Linked DNA regions of Macaca mulatta. The protein of the gene in region 1 purifies or fractionates together with the protein of each later gene. This does not show direct contact. Links are inferred from orthologs where the notes say so. Each region holds a gene or a part of one and is shown on either strand. Other genes may lie near its edges. The genes, in order: BAZ1B and MYO1C.

Region 1 (3,052 bases):
GAACAGCACTACTCACCCCCACCCACCAAGAAAGAGCATGAAGAAACAGCCACCAGAATGGTTTCTTCTTTATAAACACAAGTACATGAGGTTTATTTGAAATTCCAATTTATTACAAGTTCACCCTTTAATGGGGCCCTTCCTCCTTGAAGACAATAATAAAAAAACAACAACAACAAACAATTCAGTTGTCACTGAAGTGGGAACACAGGATTCTCACTATGAACAAGAACAGACTGGATGTAGGAGGCAGGGGAAGCTGGCGGTGGTGGGGTTATGAAGCTGTGATGTCAGTGCCAACTCCATGCCTAGAGAAGGGACGGTAAACTACCCAGCAGCCCTGGAGCAATCCCCGTCGTCCTTGGGCAGGAGGACGGAGAAAGCAGGGGCCACACTCCGCAGTTTAATATTGAGAGGCTTGATTCTCATGTTCTAGGAGCTGCAGTCCCCTTGGTGGACTTTAATTTAAATAGGTACAGAAGAGCTTGGGTGCTCAACATTTCCAAATTCAAAGGTGATAAAAAAGAAAATTAAACCCTGTTTTGTACTTTTATCAAAATCCATCATAAAAGGGAAAGAAGACTACAAAGTTTTGCCTAAATATAACAACTAGAGCTAGACTGGTTGTGGGACGGGGCTCTCAGAGCTTCTCTGTTGCTCTCTCCTCCCACCCCCCACTGACACTGACCACTGGAATCTTCAGGTTCTTGAGGAGTTCCAAGTCTGAGGTCAGAAAGGGCATGGGAGGCAGCAGACGCGGCACTGCCCCACCCCGCCCCCGCCCCCAGTGTTGCTGCTTGCCTCGATGAGCCTCTAACCCAACTGCTCTGCAGGAGAGTGGATGGGCTGAGGGAGAAGCCAGGGAAGTTAGAGCAAACACATTATCATAGAAACTGTACTGTACATGTGCCAAAGCGAGATGTCAGGAGTATCTTACAAGATGTTCTTTATACAATATCACTGCTGAAACAAGCAACTTTTAATAACTAGAAAAGTCAATTTAAAAAAAAATTAAACATTTAAATTCTTCCTGCTTTTCTTCTGCTCCCCTAAGAGCTTGTCTGGTATGTGGGTGGGCTGGGCTCCAACACCCCTCTGGCCAGATCCATCAAAGTAAAGGTTATATGCATGATTATAAGCAGGACTCCAGTCTCTAAGTGAAGTGCCTTAGTTTTGTTTTTTGTGGTTTCTTATTTTTATTTTTTTGGGGGAGGGGAGCTGTCACAAAGAAGGGGAGAGAGATTCAGGAATGGCTCCAGGACACGTCCCTTTACTCTGCCAAGATCAACTCAAAAGACCACAACTGTTTCATGATGCTGGTGAATACAGAATTCTGTATGGCACTCACTGATACTGTCACCTGAGAGGAAGACGGGGAAGAGACAGAGTATGGGCTTAAAGAAACAAGACTGTATATAAATACAGATTAAAAAAGAAAAATCGCCACCATCTTCCCTGTTGGCCTGATTACCCCTGATCCTGCTATGTAACACAGCAATCCCACCCCTGGAGACCAGAGGGGCTTGGCACTGTGGTAAAAGCCAGAGTGAGAGGGGCCTTAGGAAAGAAGGCAGGAACAGGAACTGGGTTCACCAGAAAAGCTAGACCCTCAGACTCCTCCTGGAAACTCTCAGAAGGGAGGGTTATGGCCCTCTTCGTCCCTTAATATTTCTGGACAAAGACCACCAACCCAATAATAAGCCCCATAAAGAGCTGTTAGAAAAACAGCATAAGCTTGGGATGATGGGCGCTTCTGGACTCCCTGCGATCTCTTCAGAGTTCTCAGTCTTCCTCTCTCACCTCCCTCCCACCCTCCCTCGCTGTCCCCCCACCTCAGATCCCTTACCACAGCCCTGCCTCTCTACTTCTTCTGTCTTCGTCCCCTGGACTGTCCAACGGGCTCTGGCTCACTGTCCCCTTCATCTTCAGCAAGCCTATCAGGAAACTTCTTGCGCTTCCTGCGGACATATGGGTGGCCAGGAAGGTGTTTACGCAACAGAGCCACTAGACACTGTTCTGTCTTCGCCATGCAGCTTAGCACATGGCTGCCACGGCAGTTGTAAACCTCAGCATTGGTAAACACTTGCTTCATGTCAGTAAGAAACTCCTGCACAGAGCGGTAGCTCCCACAGGAACATTTGTTCTGCACTGTCTGAAAGTCCATGGGGTGCGTGATCACATCATAGTAGTCCTCGGCCTCATCTCTGGTCACAGGCTCCCTGTGGAGAAGAACCAAATAGAGAATCTGCATAGCCTTGACGGCAGTGCCCATGCTAAGACACATCCTAAAAAGCAAGGGCTTGGCTGAGAGCCCCTCAGGGGTTCTGGAAGCTTTTAGAACCTGCTAGGCCACTCCTCTCCCCTGCACCTGAGAACACAGCGCTCACCTGAAGGGCCAGCTGAAGCGGTACTTCACGATCTTGTGGAGGATCTCTTCACACTTCTGCAGCTCCAGGCTTTGCCTCCGGGAGCTCCGCTTGGTCTGAAGCACCTGGCAGGAAAGAAATAACAATGTTATTATAGATTCAAGACAGGAGGAAGAGTGCATAGGGCAGAAAATAAGTGTATCTGCTCAAAAAAGGAAGAGTTCAACTATTTCCTTGGCACAGAGGTGCTGAAACCTTCTGACATTCAAGTCAGGGAGCACCCTCGGCCCAGGTGGCAGGCATCTTCCCAGTAGTCCACTTGCTCGCCCCCGCAGGGCCATGGCAATCAAAGCAGCAGAGAGCAGGCAGCAGAGGCCGTCTTCACCAGCAGTCCTACTGGAGGTCGGCTGAAGGGGGCCACTGTCAACAGGACACTAGCTCTCGGAGAACAGGTGGACCTGGGGTTACAGTGACACCATGGAAGGGCATCAACAAGCCACTGCAGAAAGCCAAACAGGCTATCTGGGTCACCAGCAGCCAATTCTGTGGGGGTGAGGTGCCTCTGGGAAGAAAAGCAAGAGGTCCAATTCCCTTCCTGGGCTCTTCCAACGTAGACATGTGAGGGCTAAGTGGCTAAAGAGAAAAGGGGCGGGGCCTCCATTCCAGGTAGCCATAACAAAGCTGTG
Region 2 (3,814 bases), on another chromosome or scaffold:
ACCAGGACAATGACGAAAGGTCTGAGTGCTGGAAAGTCAAGGGCTCACCAAGCCGAGTGCTAATGAAGAGTCTGGGCACACTCTGAGGGTAATTATCCTTCTTGCCCTTGAAGATCTCACTAGCCACGGCCTTCTGCTGCAGCTAAGGAGACAAGGGGGGTGAGGAGAGTATCACGGTGGGGGGTACTATCTTGGGGGGCAGAGCCAGCCTTAGGACCTGAGACAGCCTCCCTCACCTGCTTGCTGGTCCCCCTCTTGCTCAGCACCAGGAGGTTGAGCCCTGCCCCCCACACTCCCATCAACCCCCCACTTCCTGACCCTCTGCCGCCACCAAACACTCCCCAGCGGTGTCATGAAGGCACTGCCGGGTTTTGAAACTAGCCTTTGGCCGGGCGCGGTGGCTCAAGCCTGTAATCCCAGCACTTTGGGAGGCCGAGACGGGTGGATCACGAAGTCAGGAGATCGAGACCATCCTGGCAAACACAGTGAAACCCCGTCTCTACTAAAACTACAAAAAACTAGCCGGGCGAGGTGGCGGCGCCTGTAGTCCCAGCTACTCGGGAGGCTGAGGCAGGAGAATGGCGTAAACCCGGGAGGCGGAGCTTGCAGTGAGCTGAGATTCGGCCACTGCACTCCAGCCTGGGCGACAGAGCGAGACTCCGTCTCAAAAAAAAAAAAAAAAAAAAAAAAAAAGAAACTAGCCTTTGTAATGTTTCCCCACCCCATCAGGCCCTGGTGGCCCTGAGACTCAGCTCCAGCTTGGGGTCTTCTAAGTAGCAGATCACTAATACTCAAGGTTACTAGAGGTTATCTATGCTGGGTGGGTGTTTTAGAATCATCCAGTACTGAGTTGGCAAAAACACGGCACATCAACCAATGCCTGTAATGAGGGCAAACATCACCAATCCATCCAAGTGAAGATGCAGACTTTTCAACACAGGGTTCTGAGCAGTCTCTACCAATCAAGGGCAGTTGGCCCACAAGGTGAACCCTATTGGCCACCCCAAATGTACTCCAGCGTCCACTTCCTACACAAGGCCCAGCAGGGCCTGGCATCCAACTGAGGTCGCCAGTAGACCGGGGTAAATACAGTAGACCAAAGAAACGACAGCAGACAGGGGTAAATACAGCAGACAGGGGTAAATACAGCAGACAGGGGTAAATACAGCAGACAGGGGTAAATACAGCAGACAGGGGTAAATACGGCAGACAGGGGTAAATACGGCAGACAGGGGTAAATACGGCAGACAGGCGTAAATACGGCAGACAAGCGTAAATACGGCAGACAGGGGTAAATACGGCACACAGAGGTAAATACGGCAGACAGGCGTAAGTACGGCAGACAGGGGTAAATACGGCAGACGGGTAAATACGGTAGGCGGGGTAAATATGGTAAACCGAGGTAAATACGATAGACGGGGTAAATATGATAGACAAGGTAAATACGATAGACGGGGTAAATACGGTAGACGGGGGTAAATACGATAGACGGGGTAAATACGGTAGACGGGGGTAAATACGATAGACGGGGTAAATACGATAGACGAGATAAATACCATAGACGAGGTAAATACGGGGTAAATACGGTAGGCGGAAGTAAATACGGTAGACGAGGGTAAATACGGTAGGCAGGATAAATACGGTAGATCAAAGTAAATACGACAGACGCGGTAAATACGGTAGGCCGAGATAATACGGTAGGCAGAGTAAATACGATAAGCCGAGATAAATAAGGAAGGCAGGGTAAATACGGTAGACCGGGGTAAATACGATAGACGAGGTAGAGTAGACCGGGGTAAATACGGTAGACTGGGGTAAATAGAATAGACCAGGGTAAATACAGTAGGCGGGGTAAATACGGTAGACCAGGGTAAATGCCCCTCTAGGCCAACACTCTCTGAGGAATGCCTGCGGTTCCCTGACTCCACTTCCTCATCCTCACCCAGCACCACTCTCCGTACCTGCTGCTTCCACTCAGGGCTGATGCTCCGGCAGTATTTCCACACCATGTTCTTTATGCACAGCTCCCGCAGAAGCTCTGAGGCCTGAAGGGAAGAGTGAGGTCAGAGCTCCTGGACACCCTGGGCCCTTCCCTCTGAAGACATCGAACATATGTTACCCCAGCCTTTGGATAAGCAAAGCCCCCTCCATCTGGACAATGCTTCCACTCCTGAGTCAAGAGACCTTACTCAGCAGGGCGCGGTGGTTCACACCTATAATCCCAGCACTTCGGGAGGCCGAGGTGGGTGGATCACCCGAGGTCAGGAGTTCAAGACCAGCCAGGCCAACATGGTGAAACCATATCTCTACTAAAAATAAAAAAATTAGCTGGGCGTAGTGGCAGGTGCCTGTAATCCCAGCTACTTGGGAGGCTGAGGCAGGAGAATCACTTGAACCCGGGAGGCAAAGGTTGCAGGGAGCCAAGATCGCGCCACTCCCTGGGTGACAGTGTGAGACTCCATCTCAAAAAAAAAAAAAAAAAAAAAAAAGAGAAACCTTACTTTTCACTGCCCAGCTCTGGTCCGGGCCCTCCGTGAGCCCCTCCCTGACCGATCCTTTGGCCCCAAGAAATCAGACCCTTCTGCTGTGTACTTTGATGGTCCCTAACTTGGCAGGGGGTGCCCACAGACCTCACGCAGGGCAGGTGGGGGTGTGGGCCAGGAGGTGTCCAGGACATTCCGGGGCAGCTGCCGCCGCAGGTTTAGCAAAAAAGAGGTGCGCACGTGGTCCAGGAAGAAGGCGTTCTCGGGGCAACGGGGCGCGTGGCGCAGGATGAAGCCTCGGATGAGCCTGGGGTCGGGGGCCAGACAGGGTTGAGGGCGAGGAGGCTGGTGGTGAACCCCCCACACGCCCTGCTCTGCAGCCCCCACAAGGCACCCTGGTGCTCACCGCCGGATGGTCTGCGCTGCCCACTTCCTCTTGGTTGCCTTCCTCCGGCCCAGCGTTCCACGCCACCACGACTGGATGCAGATGGCTGTCGTGGAGACCACAGATGGCTGACCTCCATCTTCTTACCATGGTGGCCTCCCCTGGCCCCAGACCCCGCCCCTCCTGAAAACCCATGGGCCCACGAACCTGATCGCTTCACCCGGAGGAATTTCTGCCGCCAGTGAAAGCCCCTCCAGGCAGCTTGGATCTTGGTGGCTGCAGTTGGGAAAGAAAGGCAATTGGCCAGAGCGCGGGGAGCCAGCTGGGAGCCTGGTGCCGTCTGCACTCCATGAGTGGCATGAATGGGACAGTGGCCGAAGGAGCCAGCGAGCAGCAGAGTAGTGAAGAAGAATGAATGTGGGGACTGCCCGGAGAAGGGGGGGCAGTGGGTGCGATGGCGGGCGTGAGGCTGGAGCTGGTAGGGAGGGGGTTCCAAGTCAACTAGTGGACTCCCTGGAGGAGGACTCCCTGGAGCTGGGTGTGGGGCTGGGGCTGGTAGGGAGGGGGTTCCAAGTCGACTAGTGGACTCCCTGGAGCTGGGTGTGGGGCTGGAGCTGGTAGGGAGGGGTGGACTCCCTGGAGAAGGAGCCCAAGGGAGTGACTTCCCTGCTTCCCGGAACAGACCCCGTGCGGCAGGAAAGGTGGGCTTCTCTCTCACCTAGGCTCTGCCGCCGGACCTCCAGGGCATCCTCTGTGGCAAACAGGGTCTTGGGGAAGCGGATGAAGATCTTGGTCCTGGGAAAGCAGCAGTGATCAGCCTGGGGTTGCCACCCCTATTCCCCGCAGGCACCTGGCATGGGCACTACTCACCTGCCCATCTTGTACTCTTCTGGCTTGTAGCCCAGGTGCCGGACCAGCACAGCCACCCCATCCTGTGGCCGTCCTG

The links.
Region 2: the proteins of BAZ1B (region 1) and MYO1C purify together in Homo sapiens (affinity purification with western blotting; 3 studies listed by BioGRID, with this or other methods). This does not show direct contact. The link is inferred for Macaca mulatta from reciprocal best matches to the Homo sapiens genes BAZ1B and MYO1C.

Annotation. Positions count from the first base shown.
Region 1 is NC_133408.1:50,920,674-50,923,725, forward strand, and holds the end of BAZ1B (tyrosine-protein kinase BAZ1B), read right to left. Parts: intron 2,492-3,052; coding exon 2,388-2,491; intron 2,220-2,387; coding exon 1,862-2,219; 3' UTR 1,847-1,861; exon of another isoform or gene 1,361-1,846; 3' UTR 783-1,360; downstream 1-782. UniProt on the Homo sapiens protein: Atypical tyrosine-protein kinase that plays a central role in chromatin remodeling and acts as a transcription regulator. Involved in DNA damage response by phosphorylating 'Tyr-142' of histone H2AX (H2AXY142ph).
Region 2 is NC_133421.1:3,017,772-3,021,585, forward strand, and holds part of MYO1C (unconventional myosin-Ic), read right to left. Parts: coding exon 3,739-3,814; intron 3,664-3,738; coding exon 3,587-3,663; intron 3,145-3,586; coding exon 3,076-3,144; intron 2,975-3,075; coding exon 2,890-2,974; intron 2,791-2,889; coding exon 2,631-2,790; intron 2,046-2,630; coding exon 1,962-2,045; intron 143-1,961; coding exon 49-142; intron 1-48.